4 linked regions of the Oreochromis niloticus genome follow. The protein of the gene in region 1 interacts with the protein of each later gene in a pairwise test. Links are inferred from orthologs where the notes say so. Each region holds a gene or a part of one and is shown in the gene's direction. Other genes may lie near its edges.

Region 1 (7,960 bases):
AAAGGCGCCACAAGAGGGCACTCCAACACAAGAGATGACCTATGTACACTGATGCACTTAGTAACAGTCAGCCTCCTTGAATTGGCAGAAATACTGTGATTTAGTAGTAATACTATAACATAACAGATATACTGTGATGTTGCAGACATAGTATGTTTTTGCACTACTCATTTGTAGTGAAAAAAATTAGCAATATAAATTACAGGTCTGTGATAGTGTATAAATTTGTAGTGAAAAAAAAAAAGTTGAACAAGGTGGGATTGAACCCACGACGTTTGAGCTGCAGAGCCGTATCATTACTGATTGCGCCACCTGGAAAGGGGGCGGGCGGCTGAAAAACAAAGACATCAGCAATCAGAAATAGATCGCGGTGAGAGGCGAAAAGCGCCGTTTTTTGGAGTTACAAAACATCGTGTAACTCAAAAACTAGGAGGGCTAGCGGCATAATTCTTGTACTGGGTGAATCAGCGGACTTTGGTATACTTTGACTGCAAGTTTTATTGCTCTTTGGACCTCCGTCGCGGAGATATGACGAGAGAAGAAACGGCTTCATTTTCGGAGTTTGAAAACTGAGAGGAGGACAGATTTCCACCCCTCAAACAAACGTAATTCATTGCTCAACGGTAAGATAACTGTAAAAACTGCTTCCACTGTGAGTGTCAGCAGTGTCTGAAGATATATTGGCACAAGCCTCATGTCCTAACTTTGCTTTGTTTAAGAGATATGGCGATTTGAAAATGCCTCCCGTTACAGAATTTCAGCTCTGAATTTCAAAACCTCCCCATAGACTTTGAATGGGGAGTATTGAAACCTTGTGTCACTTCGAGGCAAATTGTGAAAAAACGGTAAATCTCACAATAAAGATAGTGACATTGTCTGAAAGTCAGCAAAAATACCTACGTTTTGATGTATAATTTGCGGGGGTTGAATGAAAATTGAGTGAGCAGCAAGAAGTTGTTCGGACATGAAGAGAAGTTTCAGAAAGGACCAGTGCTCACTGTGAGTTAATTGCATAGCAACCATAACAACGCATGTATTTTCTGAAAAATCACAAAGCTGCAACTGAAAACTTAAAGAGGCATTAAATTAAAACGGTAGAAGATCTGAAAAAGCTGAATCAGACAGGAATAGCCCAATAATTTGAGAACATTTTAAAGTTTGAATGGAGTTTCTAGGTGAAAGTATGAGGAAGTAGTTAAGTTTCAAAAACAAGCAAGTTTTAGCAGAGTTGTGGAAGTTTTCCATTCATTTCAATGGGACAAATTAAAGGAAAAAAGTGTAATATTTTAAAAAGTATAATAGTAATAAACACCAAAAGATATAGCTGGAATTAGCAGAAATAGCAGAACAGTTTAGAGTTTGAACGGAGAAAATCGGCTGAAAACTGAGGGAGTAGTTAAGTGCCGAAAAACGCGCAGCAACTTGAAAAAGAATAAAGTTTAAAGAGAAACAGGAACTCAATAGTGTGGATGCCTTTGAGGGCATCCACACAATAAAGAGAAACAGGAACTCAATAGTGTGGAAGCCCTTTGAGGGCATCCACACAATAAATCCGACGAATAGTAATAAGTGTGCCTCTTGGCATAGGCATACTTAATAAATCCGACGAATAGTAATAAGTGTGCCTCTTGGCATAGGCACACTTAAATATACCCATCTAGAGATTAAATGCATAAGTACATGGAGGCAGGACCTCACAGCAGAAGCGTACTGCATAATGTGCATTATTATATGTATGTTATATGTAACGTGGTATATCATAACTGCTTTAAGTCATACAGAATAGATAGCAGAGCCTTAAGCACGATGATTTCTGCTAAATGGGTCAAACTGGGCAGAAATGATACTAACACATAACATCCTTATAAAATATGGATACTCATTTTCAGGTGCATACTGGTGCTGATACTTACATACTTTAAGTTTCTGAATATAAAAACTTTTTACTGCCTGTCATAGTTTTTAACTTGAAAGCCCTGAGTACTTTCTCCCACACTGAAAACGCTTGAATGATAAAATTATTTTAGATATCACCTAATAAGACTGATTCAGGACAGATAATTAGTTATTTTAAACCTTTCAGTCCTTCACACAAAGGGAACAATCTGTCTATTCTCTCCATCTCTCAGCTGGTGCTGGCTCTTCCTCACACACTGCTGAGTTTGTCCTGGTGGATCATCAGGGGTGCAAAGCCTCACAGATGATTTGCAGCAATGGGTTCCTCAGTCCTGACTCTGGACACTTGCAGGTTTCAGATATGTAAATCAAATGTGTGATAAGCTGCAGGATTCAAACACACTTTTATTTAACAATCAGAGAGAAAGAAAAAAAGAGAGAAGGTGAAAGTGCAGGACAGACAGAAAAGTGACAGGCTCAGGTGGTATACAGTACTACAAAACAGCACAAGAGAAGGAGTATTTTCTCTTTGTGTTATTAGGAGTACTAAATAAGATGAGATGAGTTCCCAGTTGTGGCCACATGTTTGACTCCTATGAAGAAAGCACCTTTCTTTTCGCCTAACGAGCGAACTGTCAGCTCATTAAGACAAATGCTAAAGTCTGTTTGGCTCGACACCACCAAACAGAGGCCGGAAAATAATCAAACTTACATTAAGAGTGCAATAAATCCTGCTTGTGCCGTGATATTCAGGGCTGAAAACCAGGCCTGTCTATATGTCAGCTTGTTCTGTGTAATACGGTTTAGCCTGACTTTAAATATCCATAAAATCTTCACAATCTCTGCAAGATTAAAGTCAACTTTTGAAAGGCTTTAAAATCAAGTAGAACCTAAACCGCGTTAAGTAGGCTACTAACATCACTAATGTCAGATAACTTTGCCGACACGTGGCCAATAGTAATGTTTTAATGTTCTTCTTAAAACATTTGTTTTGCCGCATAAATAAGTGACATAAAACTGAGTACTTACTATTAAAAGCTTACTCTTCTGCCGTGCTATGAATCCTGGGATAGCGTGGACAACGAAGGATACACCCGACCCATCTTCAAATCCGGGGAAAAGGAGGACACATTTGTTTTTGTTGGTTTTTTTGTAATGCATTTATTGAAAAACAAAAACATGGCACAGTACAGTATACTGTATCATTCATAATCAACGTCACAAACAGACAAGTGCAGATGAAATAAAGGAGCACAAAAAAGGGCAAACAGTAAAAATAAGTAAATTGCCAAACAAAATTAGATGAAATGTGCAAAGGGTTAACATTTAGTTTTTCGATATTCTTCATTTGCTCCATTTCTGGAGCAGCATTTATGTCACCTCGCTGTGACATAATCAGCTTTCAAATCGGTCTTCTCCGAAAGATTTCGCCCCTGAATTGGGAGACTACACTACACTTCACATTTGAAAAACATCGTCATAGATTCACTCTTGCTGTTTTGCTTCCACCGCAATAATATCACACTTCCTGCACAGCTCTCTCTCTCTCTCTCTCTCCCTCATTGTGCTCCAAGAACAGTTTACCATCAAAAATCTGTTTTCTGCATTATTTGTTTGCTTATTGGTCTACTGTGGTCTAAGGCGGTTACCTGCTATAAAAAAGCCAGGCCAAGAAAATCTCCTTCATGTTTTTCTGTGTTTTATCCTCATCACAGCAGATGCCTTTGACACAAAGGCATCTACTGTGATGAAGTCTGACAAGTGTCACCTTTGTTTTTATACATAGATATAAGAAATGATCTGAATTATATTAATATTTCTGACTGTCTGAGTCAACATGGAATCGAATCAGGGATTGAATCACATCAGGACCATGTCGTTCGGATTCGAATCAGTTATAGAAATTGAAATTGATAGCCAGCCCTAGTTACGAGTGTTTGTGTGTGTGCGCATCTGCAGAGGTCATCCTCATCACAGCCTGTTTTCACTCATGCAGCCAGGAAAAAGGTGCAGGAGCACACTTTGCCAAAGCACAACAACAGAAAAGGGCTCAAACAAGCTGTTTTATTTCCACTATTATTTTAATGTTTTCCCTTCTATTCATTCAGCACCAATTAGCTAGATTCTTAATCTAGGAGCTAGATCAAGAGCTAGGAAGTTTAATCTTTTGTTATTGTTATAGTGGTGGTTTGCACTGCACGTGTTTATGTGATGGTCTCACACAGAAAAAAATCCCTGCTCTAATACGTGTAATATACTAAAGCTGATCTTTTTGTATCTGCTCATTTTCGTCATCATTCTCCACATGTCTGACTAACATGCTCACAGCAGTGTTGTCTTCTTCTACTTTTCTGAATTTCTCTAGTATTTGTATGTCTCGTGCTCTTTTAATTCTTTCCTACGGTTAGTATCCCCTTGTGGTTCCCTCTTTTACTCAGTCGTCCATATAATTACGGTTTTGATTTTGATTGAACTTCCATCTTGGAGTTTTCAGTCTCCCATTCCTGATCTAGTTATCTTTATTCCAGTCTTAATTAGCTATGAACCAGCAGAGATCTCTGCATACTGCAGAGTTTAAATTTCCAATACAGGTTTAATCCAAAGTAAAGGAAAAGTTAAACAGATATGGGGTTAGGCCGTTGAATATTGAAAGGACCTATTGTGCATTGCCTTATTTCATGTTGAGGGGTTGGGGCGCTCATATCAAACATGGGAATAATCCGTCAGCATAAGTAATGCCTGTGACTCAAAAGCATGAGACTGCTTTGAACACTCACTTCCTTCTTTCTGCTCCTCTCAGGCGTCTTTTGTTTGTAATCAAGTCAGCTTAAAGGAGTAATGGGAAGCTAATGACTTGTTTTTGACAGAAGTTAAACTGGAAGAACCAAGATTTTATTGAACAGTGAATGATTTAATTTCAGTGCAGCCGATAATACAAACCTGGAGCAGTTACACCATATTTGCTTTTATTAGATAAATTAGATTATTAGCTTAAACGGAAACAGCAGGGGGCGCTGCGCTGGAAGCTTTCGATCCATTCTTCATTAAACCAATAGACGAAGAAGAAGCGGTGCGGGGGTGAACGCGGCAGCCAGGATCTTTTAAGGAAGTGTGTGAAAGCGGAGTCACATGAGCAGGCGCCCGCCCAGGAGACGGTACCCCGACATGGACCTGGAGTCTCGGATACGGTGACTGACATCCACGGGTAGCACGGGAACAGCAGCGTCACGGCGTCTCGGGCCGCGGTGAACATCTGTGGTAAGTCGTCTAGTCGGTGGTCTCGTGCAGTTAGCCGCGGAGCTAACAGCGGGTAGCCGCGGCGGGCGGTGTTTGCTCCCCGAACCTCCCCCGGCCGAAGCACGCCGCCATCCTGTGACTGCTACTTTGTGTGTCCACAGATGGACGAGATTAAAGTGTCTCCGGACTACAACTGGTTCAGAAGCACGGTGCCACTGAAAAGAGTGAGTACACAGAGCTGCTCGGCCCACTGCGTCATTAAGGAAGTACACACTTGTTATGTCCTCTCTGTGCCTGCGAGGAAAACCAAACTCGCATGCAGTTAGAAGCCACGTTACTGTTTAGTACAGGTGCATGGCGGAGACTGGCTGGAACCGAAACTATGATCTGAGCTCACCGGGGCCTTCTGCTCCACTGAACCACAAAAATGAAAAAACAAAAGCAATTTTTATTTAACTTTCGTGCTGGATTGAGCAGCATGAAAACAAAAATGTCAGTAGGCAGTCTAATCTGAGTTTGCACATGTAGTTCGACTAATTAGAAAATGATTGTTAAATAATTTTTTTTGGAAACACACTTTGCGAGCATACCCTGGAGGAGTCGGGGAAAGTTTAAAGTACAGGAAGTGGCATTAGAAATAAACTTTGAGGTTTTTTAACGTCTGTCCTAAATTACAGATCCTGATTTTGATGTAAGACAGTTTAGACTTTTTTCTTTAATAGTTTTTGAAATGCTCATGTTCAAATCTGGCCTCAGACTTTAAAGTGTGGAAAAGTGGGTGGATAGGCCTTTAAAAGTAAATGTATGTGGAAAAGTATGTGATATATGAAGGTATAATTTCAGAGTCATCATCATCCATGTCCGAGTTTTCAGAGATGACTGAGCAGGAAACTCTCTAAAAACATTGTTTGAAGTGGAATGACTGAAAGGAGAGTTGTTTATGTTGTTATACGCGTGTTTCTGACATGGCAGTGTATTTCATTTTGAAATGTCACAGTGATTGTGACAGAGCAGTGTACATGAATACATGGAGGGTTACACGTGAACGTACAAGCATTCTTGTGGTCAGATCACCAGACGTGTGACCTTTGGCACTGAGCATGACAACATCTCATATGATCCACAGGATCAGTTTTTGGTGCAGCTGCATTTGAGTTGCACCACAAACTAGTTTTACTACATTAGTACTTTAGTACTACATTAGTATGTACCACGTTTCCCCCCCCTCCATGTGTTAGAGCTGCTCTTCATCACTACATCTTCTCTTTAGTTCCAATGACACTCCTCCAGGGAGAGTCATAGCAGCTTAGTGCTGCTCACACTAACACACTGCTGTTGCTGGTGCTGTCTGAACATGGGCTCACTCTGTCGCTGTGCCAGGAAATAGTTAGGTTCCAAGTGGTTAGTCTGTGAGCTACTGAATGCCTGGCTGTCCTCAGGTCTGGTGTGCATGAGGCTTTCTGCCACTGCAAACTTCCTGCGTTGTTGTCATGTGAGCACTGAAGCCTTCTGTCCTTAACACATGTTGGTCAGTCAGCCATCTGTCACATGGTCACATTTATACTGATGTTGTGTGCAGTAATCACAGGGCCGCTGTTTTCAGGATCACGTGTTCGGACAGCTAAACTAGGGCGGCGTGGACGATAAAAAATCTTTTGTTTCCAAGCTTCATTTAATCTACAGCTGTGCAGTGCCCATATTTGTGCAGTAGAGAACACGTGTGAGAATAAAGTGTTCAATTTCAATTCAATTCAGTTTTATTTATACAGCGCCAAATCACAACAACAGTCGCCTCAAGGCGCTTTATATTGTAAAGTAGACTGTACAATAATACATACAGAGAACATCCTAACAATCATATGACCCCCCCCCATATGCAAGCACGGTGGTGACAGTGGGAAGGAAAAACTCCCTCTTAGCAGGAAGAAACCTCGGGTAGAACCGGGGGGGGGGGTGGCCATCTGCTGCATGTAGTTGGGGTGAGAAAAGAAAGACAGGATAAAAGATATTAGATAAAGATTTAGCTACTAGCCAAATCCAGTGGAGTGGTTTGGTTTAAACTAGAATAAAACCAACAATGGTCTTAAAAAATTATATATTTTAAAATAAAATAATTAAACATACTAACCAAAAATGGGTTTTAATCTAGTTTAAACCAAAGCACTCCACTGGATTTAGCTACACTTTGGACAGTGTTTCCGGAATGCAGTAGCTAGCGAGCTGATTGGAGACAAAAACAGCCATTTAGGATTTTTGCATCAGTTTTTTTTGTTTTGTTTTGTGTTTTTTTTTTTTTTTTTTTTTGTTTTTTTGGCACATTTATAACGGTGAACAGAAAAACTTGAGCGTGCAGGGAGCACAGATGTTGAGAGTGGGAGTGACATACACTGGGAGCAGGTCTGCAGATACCTGTCAGCACACAGAGAAGAGATCTGAGGAAGAGCAAATGCCAACAACTGAGCGAGAGGGGTTGTTATTATATGTGTGTGTACATGGATAATAGCAAACACTGAAATACATTTCTTGCAAGCAGCAATGAATTTTCTTCACTCAAAATAATTTTCTCCTCAAAATGCAACATTTGTATTTGCAAAAATTATGTACGCGCACTCAGAATAGAGGCACAAAAATAACGCCATATACTGATGCATCCATCAGTGTGAATGCTGGATAGAAAGCACATGCATAGAAAAATGCTTGGGTAGAGTAGAAGCAGTCTGTTTACAGTTTACCGCAGCATGGTTATATATGTAACATGAGCCAGGCCTGCAGCACTTTTACCACTCATCATTCTGTATTTAGTGAACACTGTAATCAAACTCCAACA
Region 2 (6,884 bases), on another chromosome or scaffold:
TTTCCCAACCAGATTTTCAGCCAGTCTAAAGCAACTTTTCAGAGGCGAGCCAACTGGTTAAAGCTCCTAACACAAGTCAACCTTGAATCACAATAACTTTTAGTGTGCTGCGTTACCATTCGGAGCTCCTGTGGTAGTAGTAGCCCTCAATTGTTGCTGTGGATTTCTGGAAGCAGATGTAGTAGAATCCTGCAAAGGAAGCGCCGCTGATGTCCTTTATTGTGTGGTCAGGGACCAAAAACTGTTCCTAAGGCAGGCAGGTGAGAAAGACCAACAGAAATATAAAAGCCAACCTACTGCAGAATTTAGTTAAGTTCACTCTTCGGTAATCATACCTTCCACCTCATGAAAATATAGTCAGAGTTCTTCAGATCCTCGTAGTCAAAATCATCAGAGTTGAATGTCTTTGCATACTGGTAGAAGGCCTGGAACTTGCCCTGGACACAAAAACGTTTACAGGATAGGACAGAATAAATCAGTCTGATGGAGACTAATTTTTGTAATTTACAAATAAAAGTGGTTTCACCTTACCCAGTGCTTACGATCCACATCCTCATCCGCATCCCATTTCCGAGTGAGAAATGGCCGTTTCCTACTGATGATCTCTCCAGCAAAGAAAGTGGTCAGAGTTGGATATTCCTAAAACAACAACGAGAAGCAATTGAAGACACATCTGGTCACTTCTACTGTTTGCAATTAAAAAGAAAGTAATATTAAATGAAACAAACACATCTGTCTATTTAATGTTCAATTATATAAAAGACAGTTCTATTCTAAAACACAGCAGAAAGTGATCATTTAGAGACTGACATATAAGAGGTATGTGTAATAAGCCAACACAATGTCACAGCTAGTTCACCACTGCATTCATACAGTGGGAATGTTCTGGATGCTCTGTACAGCAGGAACACAAAGACGTGAGCTGTTACCCAGTAATTACTTCTGTAATAACCGAGGACTCTAATTATAGCATGTATTGCGTTAGCTGTAATTTACTCTGTGAAATAGAGTTTAACACACGTCCTAACAACATAGTGTTATGGTTATTTTGCCAGTGTGCTGATAACATCTTATTTACACTATCTTTGAATGTTGCTATTAAGGCATGATTAGTAGTATAACATCCACCAATCAGAAGAAAGTTGAATTTAAGTGAACGTGGTCTTCAAGGAAGAAGCAGAGGATGAAATGAAAGCCCAATAAAGATTATTCAGAATCATCCAAAGCTACTCTAGCAGAGGCAAAGGATATAAATTAGAGCTGGAAGTAAGCTTTGTATATCTAAATTTAAAAAAAGAAAACATACACAGACATCAGTCACATTATCACAGCTTCCTTAACACTGGTTCCAGGTCTCTAAGACCTTTACAGATACGGTTCTGGATGCCAATGAGTCTTGGTAAATGGTAAATGGACTGGTTCTTATATAGCACTTTTCTACTTTATTTGAGCATTCAAAGCGCTTTATACAACATGATGGATTCATACAAGCACTTCTTTCTATGCCTGCATACTATCTAACATTCACACACATTCCCACTCTGGATGCATCTGAGAGCAATGCGGGGTTAAGTATCTTGGCCAAGGATACTTTGGCATGTAGATCGAACCACTGATTATTAAATGAACTGCTCTACCTCCTGAGCTACAGCTGTCCTGTGTTGTGCTTGGTTTAAAAAGAACCCTAAATTGAAGCAAATTTCTCTTTGTGTGTGCGCCTAGCAAATTTAGTGCAAAAAGAAATCTCCTAGAATCACAAATTTTCATTAGGGTAACTTGAATAAGTGCAAATGTCTGTAATCAGAAAGCAATTGCAAAGATTTGTCCTACAAGGCATGAAAGGAAAACACCTTTGCTAAGCTACAGCTTGACACTAAACATTTAGATTAAGACCAGAGGCCTCAATTATCAAGGGTACTAAAAATAAGTTTTCAGGAAATCATTTAACTTGTAACTAAAGTCTTGTTTTGACATTTCGTTATCTTCTGGTTATGTGTGGCCATGTGAGTTCAACCCGTGATAAACTTTGCCTTTCTTGACACCTGGTGCCAAGCAGCCTCAACACAAACTCAAATGGTGTGTTTGTGAGCTCAAAATGTAGCCTACTGAATAACACATGTTGGGTGTCTTATATCTTCTCTACCATTGCCATGATTCTGTCTGTGGCCGATCCAGACTACCCGCTCATTTCTGTAGGTATTAAAGCGTTATTACGTTAAGCCGTTAACAAGTTAACCACAGGATTTTAAGGACCTGTGTGGCAATCTCAAAACTACTTTTAACTATTAATCCAACAACATTTTTTATTGATGAGACACCATACATATTAGAACAATGTGTTCTCGACAGCCCAATCAAAAAGGAGTTGCACGGCCACAATAACTGATGTGCTCTGCCTCAGGGGGAGAGTGCAGTTACTGATTCAACTATTTCAAAGAGCACTCAAAGAAAAGGTTCAATAGTTGAAATTAAACTAGAAATTGATATTTTACAGTGACCAGCAAATGAATTAGTAGATGTTTAATGGAAAAAGTGGACAGTATGTGCAAGAAAACCTTTAAAAAATCTTGCATTTGAAGGAATTTGCCTAAAGAGATTTTTGAACAACACTGCATAAAGCCTTCAAGAAGCTAGCCTCTCTACTCTGGGCAAATAAACCTTTTGCTAAACAACTGTACTTACTTTTTCCATAGTGAATTTTTTTTTACATCAATTGGTACTTTGGTTGAAAAGCCCAATAGTCTTCGTGTTGTCTTATGTTAATGCCTTTTTCTCTTGGCACTGTTAGACATGTTTGCTACTACAAAAATAGTCACAACAATTTCCATGACAGCTGTGGCCAGACATGGTATAAATTATTTATGCTCATGCTTTAATGAAGGGAATCACCTCTCTCACCTCTGTTAGTCCTTTTATCTTCAGGTAGCCACATAAGTAGGAATCCTCCATGGTCACATGCTTTAAAAAGAAAGCAAGACATACAATAAACTACATCACATTGACATCAGTTCAGATCATGTTATGGTTTTACAAAGGCAATGCTAAATATTTAATTTCTAACAGCAACCTCAAATACAAATAATTTTCTACTGAGGTAAATGTTTGTGTAGGCCTTCACACCAATTCTGAATGTCCTTATTTGTATTTTTAGTAATAAATTACTTCAGATGCATTAAAACATTGACAACAAATTTAAAATGTTTGTTTGTATTCAGTCGTGGGCACTGCTACGGGACAGGACAGGGCTGATTTTACCAGCTGTCAATCATCATGCCGCCCGTTTGACAGATGACCAAATGCCTCTGACATCTCGACTGAATAACGAAATAGTCGCTTCACTGCCCCACCTGCAAAACAACCTCCACGTCATAAGAGTTTCCTTTGCTTTTCTGGTGGCCCCTGAATTTGGAACCGCTGTACAGGAGCGAAGTGACAACACCGGGCTGCTGCGTGTTTATCGGGGGCGGCGGGATAAGTGAGGCCGAGGATGTGAAGGCCGCGGTGGTGGAGTCGCTGAGGTATCCAGCGGGGACAGGCATGGCTCCGGCTTCGCTGACCGGGCACCGACCGCGGGCAATTGCCGTCGAGGAGAGGTACTCTGTCGGCGTCTACAAAGAGGTGGCGGAGAGCCGAAGAGGTCCAACAACATTAAAATTCCACTTAATTCCGCTACAGTTCAGTTTACCAGCAACCAAGCTCCCAAAGAAGTGGACTTCGACGCGGTGTTGTAGCCAGAAGTATCCTCCGCTCTCATTGGTCAACTGAGTCTGGCTTTCGAACATCTTCGAAGCTCATTGGTTCGCCGTGCGGAAGGTTTCGTGGAAATATTTGGATGTAGTTTTTCAACTGTTGTGTAAGGGTGTGTGGCGCACGTATAGAAGCGCTCTTTAAACTACATTTCCCGAAGAAACTAGAAGCCTCTACGCTGCTGTCAAGCGCCGAAGGTCACACGCGTGTTTTTGAACACAAAGATGCTTAAGAACTGAGCAGCTGATAAATGCAGTAAAAATAAGACTTTATGCTAATAGGAAAATATGCGTGCATTGCTAACTCTTGTTTAATGAGGACGTTTCAGACACAGACATCTCGAAGGTGTGTTTTCTTCTCAGTCAGCCTTACTTAAAAGCATCACATCTTCACATACTTTCCGCTATGCTTAGGTGTATAGTTAGACTTCAGAGTCAGGTTGGGAATGCTTTTTCTCTCAGTAAGGTGTGTCTGAGAAATCAGCACTACGAATGTGTTGCGAGATACTCCGCAGCCACAGCAGGTAAGAGCAATAACCACCGTGAACGAAAGCTCCGGTCATCTGCAAAACATTTGTGTCATTTCACCCTGATGTGGCGTTTTTCTGTTCACCAGAGAGGAAGAGATTTTATCAAGATGTCAGCATATCTCAAAGTGAAGGTATGTGTAGTATGGTCATTAGTAATCCAGTCAAGTATAGTATTGTAGTAGCAGGTTTTCCTGCCCCATCTTTATGCTTGTGTCATTCCTTAATTTAGTGGATATCTTTTGAAAAATATCTCTATATAGGTGGTTTATATGAGATAAACCTCGACCAAAGGAAGCTGAAAACTCCAGGAGGGAAGCTGTTCACGGTGCCAAATGAAGCCTTGGCCATCGCTGTTGCAACTGAGTGGGATGCTCAAAGGGACACGCTCAAGTTCTACACTATGCACTTGGTAAAGCATTTGACATGGAGTTATAGCAAAGTGTCACATGTTTTGGGGTTTTTTGTGTTTGTTTTTACGGTGGCGCCTATGTTACATAAAATAATCTTGAGAGAAAAGGAAAATTTGAGAGGATTTTTATGATTTGATAGATCATATTTATAAAAGGAATGTTACCCAGATCTTCCAACAGCTTGCAGGACGTGTACCTTTGAACTAACTTTGCCATGATATTTATACAAAACTTACAGTAATATTAATTTTGGGAAACTCTTCCCTCAGACTACCCTGTGCAACACGGCTCTCGACAATCCCACCCAACGCAGCAAAGAACAAATGATCACCGCTGCTCTCAAGTTTCTGGAGACTGACACCATCTGGTATGGCACTCGTTTATTTCTATTTATTTTAGGTTTGTTTAATTTTCTGAAACTTCAAACATAAACTCATCTGCAAATAAATGTATATACATCTACATAGTCTATATATCCTATAAACACCCATGTGCATTCACAGTTCCACGTGCGCATCTGATAATTATTTAAATTTGAATTTATACAAAATAAGACATGAAATAAAACAAACTATTTTATGTTATTAATATCCAGTAACACTTATACTCGCCTTTTTCACCTTGGGAAAAAATGTCCTTTTGCATAGTGCTATGACACTTTAAGAACAGTTCGAATTGCACTACAGTTAATTGTTCTTTCTTTATAGCTTTAAATATGTATGCTTTCCTGATCATAATGATGATGTTATTCAGCTATTTTCCTTAAGCCAACATCAGAGTTACAGGATAAATATGGAAAATTCTACTTTTAGACTTAAAAACAAATTTATTTTTGTTACAGTAGCAGAGTAAATGGATATCTGACTCCCCTTCCTGCTGATAAAACCTACTTGTGTTACACTGTTATATATCACATTTTAAAACATTTTCCTCATAGAAGCCACTCATTTATTCATTTTATTAATAAATCAGTGTTTTAACACCTATAAAAGAGACATCGACACACTGTAGACAAACTTAGCTGGTTATTTTCTGAGTTGATGTTTTTTATGTTGCTTAGTTGGCACCAATTGATTGGAGTTATTGTGACTTTAATATTGTAGGATTTATGTTTTGTGTAGTTACAGAGTAGATGAGCCCCATGGTTTAGTCGAGCTGCAGAAGAATGAATGGGACCCTGTGCTGCAGTGGATTGAAAAAAGGTAAGAACAGCTTTAGCTCTTGTTGTACATGCTGCAGTTCTTTTCAGGGTATCCTTTCTTTTCCTGATAACAATAATTAAGTGTAAAAGGCCTGATCTGTGGTGTTCACATTGCTGTACTTAATTCAGAATAGTTAAAGAAAATCTTGTGTATGTTCTCCTTATTTGAATAGTGATTTGTGCAGAAATACAGGCATATGAAAATTTAATGTAATATTATTAACAGAAAGTTACACAGGTGATCTTGTGCAATAACGGATAACATAAGCCTTATAATAATGTATCTGATTCAGATCAGTTCAATTGTATTTATATAGCCCAATTCGTAACAGCAGTTACCACAAGACACTTTATGTTGTAAGATAAAGACCTTGCAATATTAGAAAGAAACCCCAATAATCACGCCCTTTGACCAAGCTCCTGGCGACAGTGGGAAGGATAAACTCAGTTTAACAGGAAGGAAACCTCTAGCAGAACCAGGCTCAGGGTGGAGCAGCCATCTGCCGGGGTTGGGGGAGGGAGACGGGGTAAAAGACACTATGTAGAAGAGCCAGAGATTATATAACTAATGATTAATGTAGAGTGATGTATAAACGCACAGTAAGTGAAGAATATGTCTGTGAAGGTTCTCAGTCATCCAGGTCATCGTAGTCTATAAGGAGCTTGGAAAGAAAACAGCGTCTGGACTTGTTTAAGTTGCTTGAAAACCCTAGAACTGAAGAAGCTTCTCGGATGAGAGTCTTCAAGCAACTTAAACAAGTCCAAACGCTTTTTTCTTTCCAAGCTCCTTAGACAGTAAGTGACGAAGCACTCAGTGCATCATGGCATATTGCAGTTTAACTAAGGGAGGGTTCAGTGTCATCTGATCTATAAGCTTTAAAAGGAAAGTTTTAAGACTAATCTTAAATGAAGAGATGTCAATATATGCTCTCTCCTTCTAGTCCATGTCAATACTCTGGCTGTGATATTCTGCATCAACTGAATGACTTTTCAAGGA
Region 3 (6,995 bases), on another chromosome or scaffold:
GCCGTTTTCCCGTTTCCTCTGTGGCGCTGACTCTCTCTTGGGCCGCACCATTTACAGCTAGCATTAACTTTTCACCTGTTAGCTTTAGTTGTGTAGTCATGCTAAGTTATTGTTAGGCCCAGGAATTTTAGTAAGTTGTAATGGAGCCCGTAATGAAACTATTGGTATCTGCCTTTGTCATGATAGATCTTGTTAAGTAAAAAAGCAGGAAACTACTACAGTTTATAGTTGAGTAATGGATAATAGCGTCTAGAATCGTGTGTTGATTTTGTAGCATTAATGTAACTGTGCTTGTAAGGCTTGTCGCTGCTGCATTCATTGTTATTTCATGCTAGCTGTCTTTTATTTTTCCTTGTATGTACACAAGTGGAAGATGAGATTTACGACAAGGTCGTGGATCTGACAGAATACGCTAAACGTCAGCGATGGTGGAACCGCCTTTTCGGAAAGAATTCCGGCCCCATAGCTGAAAAATACTCTGTGGCTACACAGATTGCAATAGGTGGAGTGAGTGGATGGTAAATATTCTCATTAAAATGCATTATGCTGCCTTTAGCGTTCCTAGTTAAGCACTTCATGTAGTTGTAGTTCTAGTAAATATGAATGGCTGAGAAACACCCTAACGCAAAATTAGAAAATCTCAAGGTTAATTTAGATGGTTATAAATTGCTCTGTGTCTCATCTTGTTTACAGTATATTTTCTGTTGGCTGATTGGACACGGATGTCTTTATTTCTTAAAGTACTATGCAAAAATCTCTAGCCACCCCACATTTCCTTTGCTAGGAAAATATGAAATGTGTGCAGACATTATTTGAAACATGCAAACATATATGTCATACAGTATATAAAGCAAAACAGAGTTTATACAATACTAATGACCTTGAAAGTGATCAAGGTCATGAGTATTCTTCAACAGCCTGAAGTCTCCTCAGAAAGCTTTCGTCTAATTCCTTTAAGCACTCTTCAAAGATAGTTCTTCAAAGTTCTCCTTTGAATGCCTTTTGTTCCATTCTTTGTCATGATGATCTCACACTGCTTCAGTAATGTTGAGGTCCAGGCTTTGCACAATTGGTGGCTGACTGCGTTCCACCGTGTTTTTTGTTTGTTTTTTGGAGGGGGGGGGGATTCTATCCAGGTATACCTTTAGCAGCGTGTATGGCAGCAGTTTCATTATTTAGTTTCAGTTTCCAAATCAGACACTTTGGAGATGACATTGCATGGTGGATCAAAGAACTTTTACTGTGTTCATGAATTTATTACTTTTGACAAGCGATTTACAATCCAGTTCTTGTGTCATTTGGCATACCTCAGAACTTGGAAAGGAAAGTCCAAAGAAAAAACATTAAAAGAGCATCAGAAGGGCTGGAGAGCTACTGCTCAAGGCCACTTTAAAAAATGACCAGGAGGCCTGGCTCCTTGGAAGCAAAATATATTGAAATGAGGAGTAGCTCAAAACGTTTTGCACAGTATTGTATTACATATAGTGCATGCTCATCTCGCTGTTCACATGTTACTGTAGCAGAGAGACAAAATTGTATTTTGCCATCACTTAAGAAAACAAATTTCACACTCCCAACTTTATAACTCTGCAGTTAAGGTATCTTGCAAACAGTGTCTTAGTTATACTTTATCAGTGGGACCTTTCACATCATGCAAACCTTATGACAGTGAATGGCCACCTCACAATGGTCATTGTTAGGCTAACTTGTGTCATTATTATTGTTAGATCAGCTACTATGCTCTCTTTTCAATTTGCCTTAGGTGTGCAGGTTACCTCTTCCAGAAGGTTGGAAAAGTTGCTGCTACTGCAGTGGGGGGCGGTCTTCTGCTTTTACAGGTATTATTGCATCGCCCTGCATAAATATGTGCAGGTTAAGCTTTTCAACACGTTGACATTGTTTTCATGAATCTGTCTTTCTTCAGGTAGCTAACAACAGTGGTTATATCCAAGTGGACTGGAAGCGAGTAGAGAAGGATGTCAACAAAGCTAAGAAGCAGTTAAAGAAGGGAACAGATCAGGCAGTCCCTGAGCTCAACACATTTGTTGAGAAGGTAATTTTTTTGTGAGTTGTCTGGTTGATTGTGAGATCATTTTCACCCTCCCGTTACAATGAAAAAGCGACTGTGTCATATGAAATATGATTTGTATCTTTCAGTCCAGAGAGTTTGTGAAGAAAAACATTGTCGTCACAAGTGGCTTCATCGGAGGATTCCTTCTCGGCCTGGCATCTTAGGACCTACCGAATGAGAAGAGTGTATTATTGGGGGGTTTTTTGTGTTATGTTTCTGATGTTATAAAAAGCTATAGAGGATAATTATAAGTCTTTGCTTATAATTAGCAATATTATAATTAAGTTCTCAAGAGTTTTAACAGCAAGTGACCAACAGATACCAGTTTAGCTTGGAGCTCTGTGTTTTTACTTAAGCTGCATTGCAAACCCTTCTGTTTATAACATCGTACTTGCAAGTATTTTTGATATAGACGTGGGACTTATTTATTAGCCCAGAATGGCCGTCTTGAAACACTCCAGTTTTAACGCCAAATAATAATACATATCATGGAAATTAAATTAAAAAAGGAAACCCAACAGAATGTTTCTGTTATTATGTATTTATTAAAAAAACGGACAATGTTCCAGAAGGAAAGATTTCCCACTGTGGTTGTGCACAGTTGGGGCAAATAGATTTCAGTTCACCTACACATGGCAGGGGATGCATGTCTTTAGGGTATTCTATCAGTGCCACTGTTAATTTTTATATTTTGGTTCAACACGTTATAATCAATCATCTTCAAAGTAAACACTGGGTTACACCAGTCTTTGCAGTCTCTGTTTTTTTATGATCTATTATGTTTACCATCACTTTGGGTACTGAAGGCTGTGGTCTGACTATTATGTAAGTAAATAAAAATAAAGAAATATGTTGAATTGTGTCTAATTCAATTTACAGTGCAGTTTATTTAACTGTAAAGATGATGAAACCTAGTCTCTGATGCCTTTGAAGTCTGTTAGTATACATTCATCCATGCTTTGGTTCAATAATAATAATAATAATAATAATAAACTTTATTTATAAAGCACATTTAAAAACCAAGGGTATGCCAAGGTGCTTAACAAGTAACATAGAGAGTAGAAGGAAGATAATAGAAATAGGACCAAAGCAAGTACTAGGTATGCAAGCAGGTAGCTGTCACTGATACATAGGAAAGCAACAGGTACAGAGCAAACAAGAAATTAGAGCATAAAAGTGCATAATATAAAATCATAAAAATATTAACTAGAGCGAAAGGCAAGATTGAATAAGTGGGTTTTTAGTCGTGATTTGAACAGTGCAATGGAATCAGATGCGCGGAGGACAAGAGGAAGGGTATTCCACAGTACCGGGGCAGCCAGAGCAAACACGCGGTCACCCCGGGACTTCAGCCGAGATCTGGGTTGTGTCAGAAGTAGTTTACTTTCACTTGGATTTTGTAAAATGTTTCACATATAATTAGAAACAAAAATGAGCTGTTACTCTGGCCATTTATTTTTGTATGCCCTACAAGCATAATAGTTTACAGTTTATAAAGAAACAGGGTGTGTTATAATGTATTCTTAAGTCCAACTTTAATTTTTGCAGGATGTGTGTGGCATACATTAAATTATAATTTTTTTAGGTAGACTCAGAGGGCTTATAGATAGTGTAAAAGTTCCAGCAAGAATTATTTCCAAATCAGAATGTACAGTAAACTATAAACAGCAAGGTATTATTTACAGGGATAATTACTCAATTACCTTAGTAGAGGTGGTAAAAAATATACCAACTCTGATACTATTTGTAAACTTTAATATATAAATAGTACACAAGTACACAGTTTACTCTCTGTTGTACTTTTTAACTTGGAGGAAAAACAATGTATAATTTTTTTTTTAAATTTATTGGCTATGTTAGCATCAAAATATACGATGAACAGCAATAATTTGAATATTGTTATGAAAATAAAAATATTTTATTGGTTCTTTTTGTTGCTAAGAGACGTGTCCCCAATAGACGTTTCCATGGTAACAGACCAATAACAGACCGTTGGAACTTCAGGGCTGCTGAGTTTTATGGAGAAAGTAATCCAACAATTATAAGTATTACCACTATGGCTTTACCGTTTCTGCCAGGGAACTCTCCCAATGAAAGAGTAAGTTTAAGACACTTCGTATTTTTCTCGCAAATTACTGAGTTTCGTTAGCAGGCGACTTCCTTAGCTAGAAACTAACCCCAGGTCGCCTGTTAGCTAGAGAGCACTTAAGCTCAGATAAAAGTGGTTGTACGAGTGGGTGAGTGAGGTATGCTGTTTAGAAAGAGCTTTGAGTGCTCAGGCATATAAGAACCAGTCTATTTAACATGTTTTTAATAGAAAGTGCTCAGATATACTTTCTCCTTTCTGTACCACAGCTGGGGAAGGAGAAATTCCACAAATCCCAACATTTTGACTATTCCAGTGGAGTCCCTATGCTGGTTGGGTCTGAGAAGCCAGGCATTGGAGGAGAACATTTAGTTGGTCAGGAGATTAAATCAAAGTACTCCGTCTATCCTATAGGAAGTGGTACCGGTTTACCACCATGGGTAACCTTTGACAAACAGGTGAATAATAGAAACTGATTTTAATTGTCCACTCAGACAAACACAGACACGTATTATGGTATAGCTTTGTGTTATTTTTTTTACGTCTGTTATTAAGGTTTAAAGCTTCCAATAGCTTGTGTTACTCATTCAAGTAAAAAAAAAAAATAAAACCTGTTATTTTTTAAAGCCTGTCATCATTTCACTAACTAAACATTTGTCATTTGAGTAATTTTAGCCACAAAATATCACTTTGTCCTTCTAGGTTCTGTGTTTTGATGCATACTTCCAGGAGACTGTACCTGAGGCTCAGTCTGAGACGTACAGAATCAGAAAGTGTAAGATCTACTTCTTCCTGGAAGACGATACCATACAGGTTGTGGAGCCGGAGTACAAGAACAGTGGCATTCCCCAAGGTGTCTGTGATATAACAGGAAATATCTTGAGAATATTGCTTAAATTCAATTACAGCCTCAATAAATAAATAAATAAACAATTAGACACTATGCAAAATGTAAATGGAAACAGAATGCAATGAGTTGCAAATCTGATAAACTCACATTTTACTCATAATAAAAAGTTGAAACATTTTTAAGAAAAAAATAAGGTCACTTTGAATTTGATGGGCGGAAGATGAAGAAGAAGAGAAGACAGAAGAAAAGCTGTCCCATTCTTCTCTTATAGAATTATACCTATGAAAGTTGTTATAGAGGCAGTATGTGTTTTAGCAGTGTTTTGCAAGTATACAAGACCTTCACTGAAGACATCGTCTGGATGGGCGCATATGTTGCTCTAAAACTTGTATATGCATTTCAGCACTGATTGCACCTTTCCAGATGTGCACACTGCCAGTTCCATATTCACTAATGCACCCCCATACCAGCAAAGACGCAGGTTTCTGAAGTGAGGCTGATAACAACCTCTATGGTTCCTCTCATCTTTAGTCCCAAGGACACTGTGAAGAAATAAAAAATCAAATATTGCATTTTAATTTGTCTGACTACAGATGCAGTCTATTTTGCCTCTGTAAATTTTAAATGAGTGTTGGCTCAGAGAAGATGGTGGCGTTGTTCACATACAGTTTCTTCTCTGCATGATTGAGCTTTAACCGTTTCTGCCAACCATTTGTGGACAGTGAACAGCGATTTCTGGAAGTGTTCCTGAGCTGATGCAGTGATTTCCATGACAAAACCATGCCTGTATTAGATGCCTTCGGGGTGGCGATGATCATGGGCATTCAGCATTGATTTTCAGCTTTGTCTCTTGCAAAAAGACATTTCTTCAGACTGATATGGTTTTATGAGTTTGTCAATGATTGCATTCTGTTTTAATTTACATTCTACACAGCGTCCCAACTCTTTTGGGATTAGGTTTGGACTTTTGTTCATCTTCTGCTTTTTCCCAAGTGGCCCAAAAATGCAATATGATGAGAGTTTCCAGACCCGTTTGTTACCAATTCTGTGTTGGTGATCCCTGTCATAGGAACACTCATTCGTCGCCACCGTATCCCACTGCCTCCTCCAAATGAAGGCCAGTTCTACAACCTGTTCCATTTCAACATCAACCAACAGATGAAGCTGTACTCTCGCACGTTCACTGTGACTGACTGTGACGCTTTCACAAGGAACTTTCTGACAAAACGTGGGGTGCACGTAAATAACCCTACCACTGTACCTGAGGACCCCTACAGCAGCCTCCGGGAACAGGTGAGCATCCGAAATACATTTTTTGTTGTTTGTATTTTATTTCAACTCATATAACTCTGTCGAACTATATTTTAATCCTCCTTTATTTATTTATTTTTAAAGAAAGTTATAGTGAATAATTTATTTGTTTCACGCTCTCAGCTCAAAAAGAGTATGCAGCCGCTTCGGCCATATGAGAGACATGATACGCTGAAGCAGTTCTTGGACCATGACCGCAAAGTCCTGCGCTTCTACTGCTTCTGGGATGACTCACAGAGCATTTATGTTGACTTGCGGGAGCTCATACTGCACTACTTCCTGGTTGATGACACCATAGAGATCCGGGAGGTGATCCCCCCAAATTCTGGCAGAGACAAAGTGAACAAATTTCTTCGTCGCTGCAGACTACCTAAGGTAGGTAAGGCAGCGTGATAAGAGCGCGATAACAGCTGTCGAGAAATGAGAGAATAAGGAAGAAACGCACAGACAGGTTTATACAAAAGGGTAAATAAGGGCTTTTTTGAGCTTGAAGTTTTGCTATTTCTTTGTTTTAGTTAACATTTAAAGATGGTTACTCCTAACCTAAAGGCTTGCAGTGTCCCTCTTTCTGGTTGTGTTGCTTCTTTTCGTCTTCCTGCTTTCATGGAGACCTCATTCACTCTGACAGGACTGCTTTAGCACCCAGTTTCCCTCAAGCATGTAGGCTTTCTCCTCCA
Region 4 (7,443 bases), on another chromosome or scaffold:
GGTTTTTTGTTCCATTGTGAACAAAGTGTGAGTTAATCAGATTTTCAACCCATTGCATTCATTTATTCATTTATTGTATCATATTTAATTTTTTTCACACAGTGTCCCAGTTTTCTCAGAACTGGGTTTGTTTGTATATCAAATGAGGCAGCATACATACTGCCACAACAAATACCATGTAAAAAGTGTGCATAGTTGTATCTGTTCACAGGATTTTTAAACAGTATTTAAAGATGTAGAAATGGCTAATGCAACATTTCCCATACCCAACAGATCAGTTTAAGCTTGCAAGTTTGTGATCAAATCCTTCATGGATCACAGCCCTCTGCTATTTAATTCTCCCTTACAACTGACTATTTGATCACTTATCTTCTTGTAAAGGTCTGCAAGACATCTGGACCAAAATCCATTTGTAAGCTGCTTATTAGCATTTACAACTGCAGACTTGATGAATTATGAAATCCATGATTTATTAACACTGATAAGTGTAGGTGACTATTTCATAGTGGCTGAGTAAAAATCAAGACTCCAAGATCCTTTCTTAATATCAAATGTACAAGCACAAACCTGATAAATATGAAACATCAGCCATTATTTAATAACCTTTATGTATATGTTTAATGTAATAAATGCTCACACCATGATAATGCTAAAGCTGTAAATCCTATAAGCAAGTTTGCATACAGAATGGCACCAATGCAGCTGTTAATGGCATTTCCAAATTGCATGTTGTCAAAGTAGACTACAGAGCGATGGGTCTAAATGTTGTGCTTTTAATAATTGCATTATTTTGCATGAATATTTCCAGCATTTTTGTATCCTCATTATCTTGTAAGTACTGGAGATGCTTACACTGCATTACATAATCAAAATGTCACGATCTAAAGCAAGAATCTAGTTTTTGTTTAGCACATTTTTTAAAATTTTGTCTGCTATACCTTATGCAACTACTGTTTGCTACAGAAAATGTCTAATCCCCGCTGAATGGCAGTGGTAGCTGGAGGTTGCTAGTGCTCGCTGGGTGAAAGTGGTTGCAAAGAAGGTGCTGCATCAAAAATCTTCGGTTGCTAGCTGATTGTATGGTTGCCTCAAATACTATATAATTGGTAGCAAAGTGGTAGTACAACTTGAAAAAGTGTGAAAATCTGTGCCTCGAGGTGCAGCCAACGTGTCTCAAAAGGTGCAACTTCCTTAGCAACGGGTGGTTACCAGATGGTTGCAGACAGGTATCGAGGCCTATCTGATTGGGGCCTTATTCACTCAATCTTACACTGATTGACACACATCCTACATGACATGGTTAACAGTAATTCCAATTCAGTTCAGTTTTATTTATATAGTGCCAAATCACAACAATAGTCGCCTCAAGGTGCTTAATATTGTACAGTGGAGACCCTAAAATATTACAGAGAAACCCCAACAATCAGATGACTCCCTGTGAGGAAGCACTTTGGCAACGGCGGGAAGGAAAAGCTCCCTTTTAACAGGAAGAAACCTCCTGCAGAACCAGGCTCAGGGAGGGGCGGGGCCATCTGCTGTGACTGTTTGGGGCTGAGGGGAGGAAGACAGGAAAAAAGACATGCTGTGGATGAGAGCCTGAGATTAATAATAACTCATAATTAAATGCAGAGTGGTGTATTAACACCATGTGTGGTTTGTGGTCATGTATATTCAAGACCTCAATAACAATTTCTGAGCATCACGAGATATATCATAGTTTCAATAGCAAAACTAATTTAATGTTTGTGAATGTTTTATGTGTTTTCTGATAATTCACTGGAGAAAACTCAAAAAACTAATAATAATAATTTGAAAAGTAGTGTTTGAAAGGTGGTCTTTTTACCTGCATTTTGATAGCAGGTTCATCTTCTAGTCGTGACAAAATCATTTTTAATTGTATTTTTTTAATGATTAAAAATGTTTTTTTAAGTGCAAGACTCTGACCCTGTATCACAGGAAACAGCAGACATGCATCCACATACATATCTGCCAAGCGGGCAGCTTTGTTCATCCTTTCGCCTCTACTTAAAATGTTGTTTGTAATTTGTGTTGTGATGACCGTGATGAAGGCCCCAAGTCAAAACACGTCTGTCAAAGAATTAAATTGTTCTGTATTCTAAAAGTATTGCTGGAGCTTTAAGCTCCTTTGCTCCATTATTCCATTTTCTTAACTTCTCATCCAGCTGAGGGTCACAGGCATGCTGGAGCCCATCCCTGCTGTCACAGGCACAAACTAGTCCGTCACTGTGCCTAAGTTTGCTTTTTAAAAATTTATTTTGCTTATTTACAGAATCACGGTAATGGACTGTGGCTCTCGTTCAACTCTATTTTCTCAGTTTTAAGAAGCGTGTGACCTTCAGCTACAACCAGGATTGTTTAAGTGGGCTGAGAAAGAGAGAAAACCGCCCCTAGAAACCTAATCATAGTGATGCCTGTGGATTATTGCAGGGACACTGCTTCTGTTCCTGTTAAATTTTTAAATGTCATTTCTTATTGCTGCAGGCACCACAAACAAAGTTCCAGTTACCTTCATGAGGAAGAAGGCAAAAAATCTCAAATGCATATTTCACAACTTCAGCTAATAAAACCAAAACTGTGTGGACAGATAGAAACTGTTTTTTATAAATCTATGTCATACGGGCATAAGGACTGCAAATCTTCCTTGAGATCATTTCAGTGTTTCTGTTTTCTTGTTGCACGAAAGACAAAGACAAAAAATAATAAGAACATCAGATGCAATAAATTTATTTTACACTGATAAATCTGAAAACATTTAAACTGCAGGACTTTAAGAGCAGACCTCGGGAAAAGATGACTCAAAGCAATGTTCTCACTGCTAAATCATTTGACTCCGTCTTCAAACCAAATAATGGCTGCTTGCATCATTTTTTACTGTCATTTTTTTGTGCGTGCGTGTGGAGACAATGTGTTCTAGTTACATTCGAAAAACCACAGATGAATGGTTTTATTTTTTATATTGAAACATCAGATCCTCGTCTTTATTAGTTATTATTATTACATTTGTCACTTTGAAACTACTTGGCATGGACTTGGCTATTGATTATGTGTCACTTTATGGGCTAAGGGGAAAGCTCAAATCCCATTTGGCCACTACTTTAATCAATGTTCACACTGGTGTCAGAACTGTCTAGTTCTATTATCACGTAGCCGAATTTAATGAACACCATCCTTACAAACTAGATCCAGTAATAATCTAGTTTGTGTGGCAGATGGATCACAAAGCCATTTATCGCCATCTTTAGTCTTATACCTGTGCTAGCACTGGAATTTTGGGCAGCATTCAGTTTAGTGGTGTCTGGTAAATAATTAGTAATTACTCAAGCAACCAGCCTGAGGTTTTAGAAGGCCGTTTGGTAGGTTTTCATATGCAGTTATTTGTGTCATACCCATTTATCTCCAGTTGAGGGCAGAAATACTACTGAGGGGGTTCTAATCTCCTTTGAATACAGAAGCAGGGAAAGAAGAGGGGGATAGTGTGAAAGAAGAAGAATGCAACCTTCATGCGCACCTTGTAAGTGAAAATTTTAGAGGTGAGGAGGTGTGCACAAAAAGCTTTTGTTTTAGTCATCTGCTGTAGTATTGGTCAAAGATGACATGAGAAATGGTGCTCCACCTTAAGAACTACCAACCCCCACCCCCGCAATGCCTTAAATAAATCATCACCTTGCACCACCACTTGTGCCAAGGAATGAAGACTGTCTGCGTGTTATCGGCTGAGATGATAAAGAAAAAAAATCCCAGATCTTTGCGGGCTCCAGATGTCACCTGGAAACATTTTAATCACAATTTTATTTCACAAAAAGACATTAGATGTATTTGATGAGATTTCACTTACACACATACGGGCCCCTTGTTACAAAGAGTGAATATTATTATAATACGGTTATTATAGTTAAACCAAATTAAAAACTGAAATTAGGTGTGAGAGGGGGAAAAAGGTTGAGTTTAAATAAAAGCCTAGACTTTAGAAAAGAAATAATTAAGTGAAGCAATAATTACCTACTTACTAAATTCTTAGTATAAAATAAAAGTTTTGTGATGGGGCATTGGTGCCTGTGTTTATTGATACTGGAATGTCTGCTTGTCTCTGTGTCAAGTATTTTTATCGCTGTATTGTATTTTTGCCCTAAATCTTGCCGCTGACGCATACCACCCATTACATTATAAATAAAAAGTGAATCTAATACTTAACCTAAAGAATTAATGAAAAATACACTAAAACTGAGCATTCTCAAACAATAAAAACAAAACTGAAATGACACGTTTAGCTCCGGAAACCGAATTAAAAACAAAAAATCACAACAAAAAAAGGATATTAAATACGCTCATAGTCTGTGTCACTGTGGTCTAAAATAAATATAGCTTTCAGAAAGGGGAACCAGCGGTTTATGTACGTTTTCTGTTTCAGATTGAGACGAGAGTGGTGATATTACCGACGGTCCCTGAAGGCAGCGGCAGAAGAAGGACGGATTCCTGGCAACGCCGCAACAAAGCTAACGTTAACCATGTACTGCTAAGCCGTGTGAATGCATCAGCTTCGCAAACATGTACTTAGGTGTTTATCTGGGCCGTCTACCAATTGATATCTACCTCATAACTTCCTCAAAGGCGCGTTAACACATTCATAATGGAATTTTTTAACGAGCCAAGCTAGCCCAGCTAGCACACTTTGTCTTCGTCGCAGCCACAATCGGTTGACTAGCTAACCAGAACGAGTTGTTGTTAGCTTAGGGCTAGTTTTGGCGAATATGGCAATTGTGTCTGGGTCCTGTGCCAGGGTAAACGGGTCTAGAAACGGGCCTCCTGTGTCAGCTACACCCTCTGGATCCGTCGGGCAGTCTCAGCCCATGATAGCGGTGTGGGAATGGCAGGATGACCAGGGCTACTGGCGGCCTTACAGCGGCCAGGTGAGCGCCTACATCGAGCGGTGTCTGTCACCGCGGGGCCACAGAGGAGGAGCACCCGGCTCTACGAGCATCTGTCTCGGACAATCAGACCCCAGCCTGTCGCCTTACCTCATTGACATACCAAGCTTGAAGCAGTTTCGACAGGACACAGGTAAACATATCTAACACGTCATGGCATGACCTTTACGTTTATTCCTCGTTAACGGTTTTGCCTCAAACCTCACAGGCCCGGTTGGCTGTAACGTTAGCCGGCTAGCATTAGCTTGCAGGGGCGCTGTTGTTTTGATTGATGTAAGCTGAGAAGTATGCATAAAGTTACAGTTCTTTAGCGAGATTTTTACTGTGAACCTAGCTACAAATCATTGAAATACGTCACAACATTGTGAGATTAACATGTAAAGATGCTTGGAGTGTCTTAAACTGTCATAATTTTGTGTGTGTGTATGTGTGTTTTAAATTGAGTTATAGTCATATATGTAATGTGTCATTAGTTCTGGCATACAAGTGAATGAACAGGGGGCTTTTCGTTTATGTCTTAAAAACAAAACACACACACAACTTTGCAGTTTTCATTCAGTTTATTCACTAAAAATCAATGTGCCTCTTTTATTTTTAGGTAAGACCCGGTCAGTACGCCGGTCTCTGTTTGCCCAGTCCTCCGGCCTTGGTAGTGGTGTTTACTGGGAATGGGCCAATGATGAAGGAGGATGGACCCCATATGAGACTCGAACCTCTATCCTTTTGGAGCACAGCTATCAGGCTCGCCAAGGCACAGCAGACCTGGGCCCGCATGGATACAATTATATAGTGGATCTCACATCTCTGGCGCAGGTTAACAAATCGACGGGTTTCAGACGCCAGGTGCGACGCCAGTGCAACCTCCCCTACCCGCTGGCTTCTTCCGGACCCCCAGCTATCCCCTCGGGCCCCGCCTGCTCCTGCCAGCAGTGTTTAAGCCACAGCAGCACCGGACCCATGCCAAGCCGTTCGCGACATTCCTTCTCATCAGGGAGTCTGAACCGGCCTAGTCTTCAAGGCACAGGAAGGGCTGTGGCGGCTCATCCCACTTCTGTCTACTCCCCGTACCCCAGGAGACCTCTCTCAGTTGGTGGCATGTCCTGGGGCAGCCCCTGGGCTCCACCGACATCTGGCAGCCAACTTTCTGCATCTCTGACCAACTCTACCAGTGCCAATGGGTTAAGGTTGGTATCTGACACCTATCCTATCCTCAATTGTGTGGTTTGGTTAGATGTGCAGGGTTCATGTTACAAGGTCCTCTATCTGCTTTCCTCCTCTTCCTCTTTGTCTTTCCTGCCTCTGTCAGTGTTGACCTTTCTTGTAAAACAGGAAAGGCGGAAAAAAAAAAAACAGATCTGTAGCTCCAGTACTTCATTGGTATGTTTGCTTTGGCTCACTTCCTGTGACTCTTGTCTGTGTCATCACTGACCTCCCTTCTTTTTGTTCCAGATAGCAGAGAAAGCTTACTTACAGGACAAATTGCTTAATTCAGTGGTATAATAAATATCTAGTTCACTTGCAGCTTCTCTGGGCTTTAATTTTTTTGCACGCTGAGTTTTAGCCACTAGAAATTAAAACTAGTGTATTAAAAACATGGTTGCTCAGTAGACAAAAGAATTGCCTACATTTTTGCGGTGAATGTTTACATTCACTAAAGCCCACACTTTCACATTTCTCTTTGAGGTGTATGCTTTACAAAGAGAAATGGTTGCCATGTGTTTAATTTAATTCAATTTTTTTAACTCCTGGGTGTGGATGCTAAAGGAGGTGCACCCATGCATGGAAAAAATAATCATTATTGTGTAATAGTACATCATAATACTCCCTTTCAAGTACTTTAATTGCCAAGACTTGTATGACTGAAAAAAATGTTGCAAACTTCCTGTCCATTGAGTCACTCCACCCTTTTGGGTCACGGCTGCCTGTGGTGTTCTCCCTCTTCCCTGCTCCTTGATCCCAGAGCAAGGAGTCTGTGGAGTCCATCCGACCACGGAACCACAGAACAAGGGATTCTCTTAACTTGGCTCACTTTCTGCTACAGTTTGGCAGTCGGCTTCAGCTCTCTTTTGTTCACTGTGTGGCTCTCCTGGGTCACTGTGCCGCCTGGGGCTCGCTTCGCCCCATCTGCGCCAGCAAATTTCCTGGCGGGTGCCCTTGTAACATGAACTGCATGGTCAAAAACATCCGTTAGTCTGGATCCACCATCATCCTCACCTCTATTTTAATTCCTTTGTTATGTTTTTCATTTGAATTGTATTTAAAAGTTTAAGGTCAGTTACTGTATTATGTTTAACTTAATGAACAATTGTATTACTATCTTTATCTTTACAGTTGCGGACATGCTGTCATAGCCCATAATCATTCAAGCAATATGTCTTTCAGACTTCTGTGCACAGAGCCCTTTGGCTACAGAAATAGACCAGTACCACCTCAGCACTGAGTCAGTGTTGCCTTTTTGCAGCCCTTTAACTGGATTTAGTTTAGCGCTCCATCATAC

The links.
Region 2: the proteins of spg21 (region 1) and atpaf2 interact in binary tests that used the Homo sapiens proteins (3 or more experiments, as listed by UniProt). The two-hybrid records come from large-scale screens. The link is inferred for Oreochromis niloticus from reciprocal best matches to the Homo sapiens genes SPG21 and ATPAF2.
Region 3: the proteins of spg21 (region 1) and efhc2 interact in binary tests that used the Homo sapiens proteins (3 or more experiments, as listed by UniProt). The two-hybrid records come from large-scale screens. The link is inferred for Oreochromis niloticus from reciprocal best matches to the Homo sapiens genes SPG21 and EFHC2.
Region 4: the proteins of spg21 (region 1) and dtx2 interact in binary tests that used the Homo sapiens proteins (3 or more experiments, as listed by UniProt). The two-hybrid records come from large-scale screens. The link is inferred for Oreochromis niloticus from reciprocal best matches to the Homo sapiens genes SPG21 and DTX2.

What each region holds. Positions count from the first base shown.
Region 1 is NC_031965.2:4,634,440-4,642,399, reverse strand, and holds the start of spg21 (maspardin), read left to right. Parts: upstream 1-4,952; 5' UTR 4,953-5,154; intron 5,155-5,294; coding exon 5,295-5,357; intron 5,358-7,960. UniProt on the Homo sapiens protein: May play a role as a negative regulatory factor in CD4-dependent T-cell activation.
Region 2 is NC_031973.2:20,994,640-21,001,523, reverse strand, and holds the start of atpaf2 (ATP synthase mitochondrial F1 complex assembly factor 2), read left to right. Parts: upstream 1-3,869; 5' UTR 3,870-4,018; coding exon 4,019-4,092; exon of another isoform or gene 4,093-4,152; coding exon of another isoform or gene 4,153-4,208; coding exon 4,209-4,270; intron 4,271-4,362; coding exon 4,363-4,407; intron 4,408-4,536; coding exon 4,537-4,685; intron 4,686-4,955; coding exon 4,956-5,053; intron 5,054-5,807; coding exon 5,808-5,888; intron 5,889-6,884. Other genes in the region: glucose-induced degradation protein 4 homolog, read right to left, coding at 117-247, 336-437, 532-639, 2,899-2,958, 3,348-3,539. UniProt on the Homo sapiens protein: Plays a role in the assembly of the F1 component of the mitochondrial ATP synthase (ATPase).
Region 3 is NC_031987.2:31,111,084-31,118,078, reverse strand, and holds the start of efhc2 (EF-hand domain-containing family member C2), read left to right. Parts: upstream 1-3,995; 5' UTR 3,996-4,127; coding exon 4,128-4,169; intron 4,170-4,426; coding exon 4,427-4,615; intron 4,616-4,859; coding exon 4,860-5,010; intron 5,011-6,076; coding exon 6,077-6,300; intron 6,301-6,441; coding exon 6,442-6,693; intron 6,694-6,995. Other genes in the region: fundc1 (FUN14 domain-containing protein 1), read left to right, coding at 368-518, 1,763-1,838, 1,925-2,053, 2,158-2,235. UniProt on the Homo sapiens protein: Microtubule inner protein (MIP) part of the dynein-decorated doublet microtubules (DMTs) in cilia axoneme, which is required for motile cilia beating.
Region 4 is NC_031975.2:27,654,519-27,661,961, forward strand, and holds the start of dtx2 (putative E3 ubiquitin-protein ligase DTX2), read left to right. Parts: upstream 1-4,442; 5' UTR 4,443-4,769; coding exon 4,770-5,079; intron 5,080-5,544; coding exon 5,545-6,130; intron 6,131-7,443. UniProt on the Homo sapiens protein: Regulator of Notch signaling, a signaling pathway involved in cell-cell communications that regulates a broad spectrum of cell-fate determinations.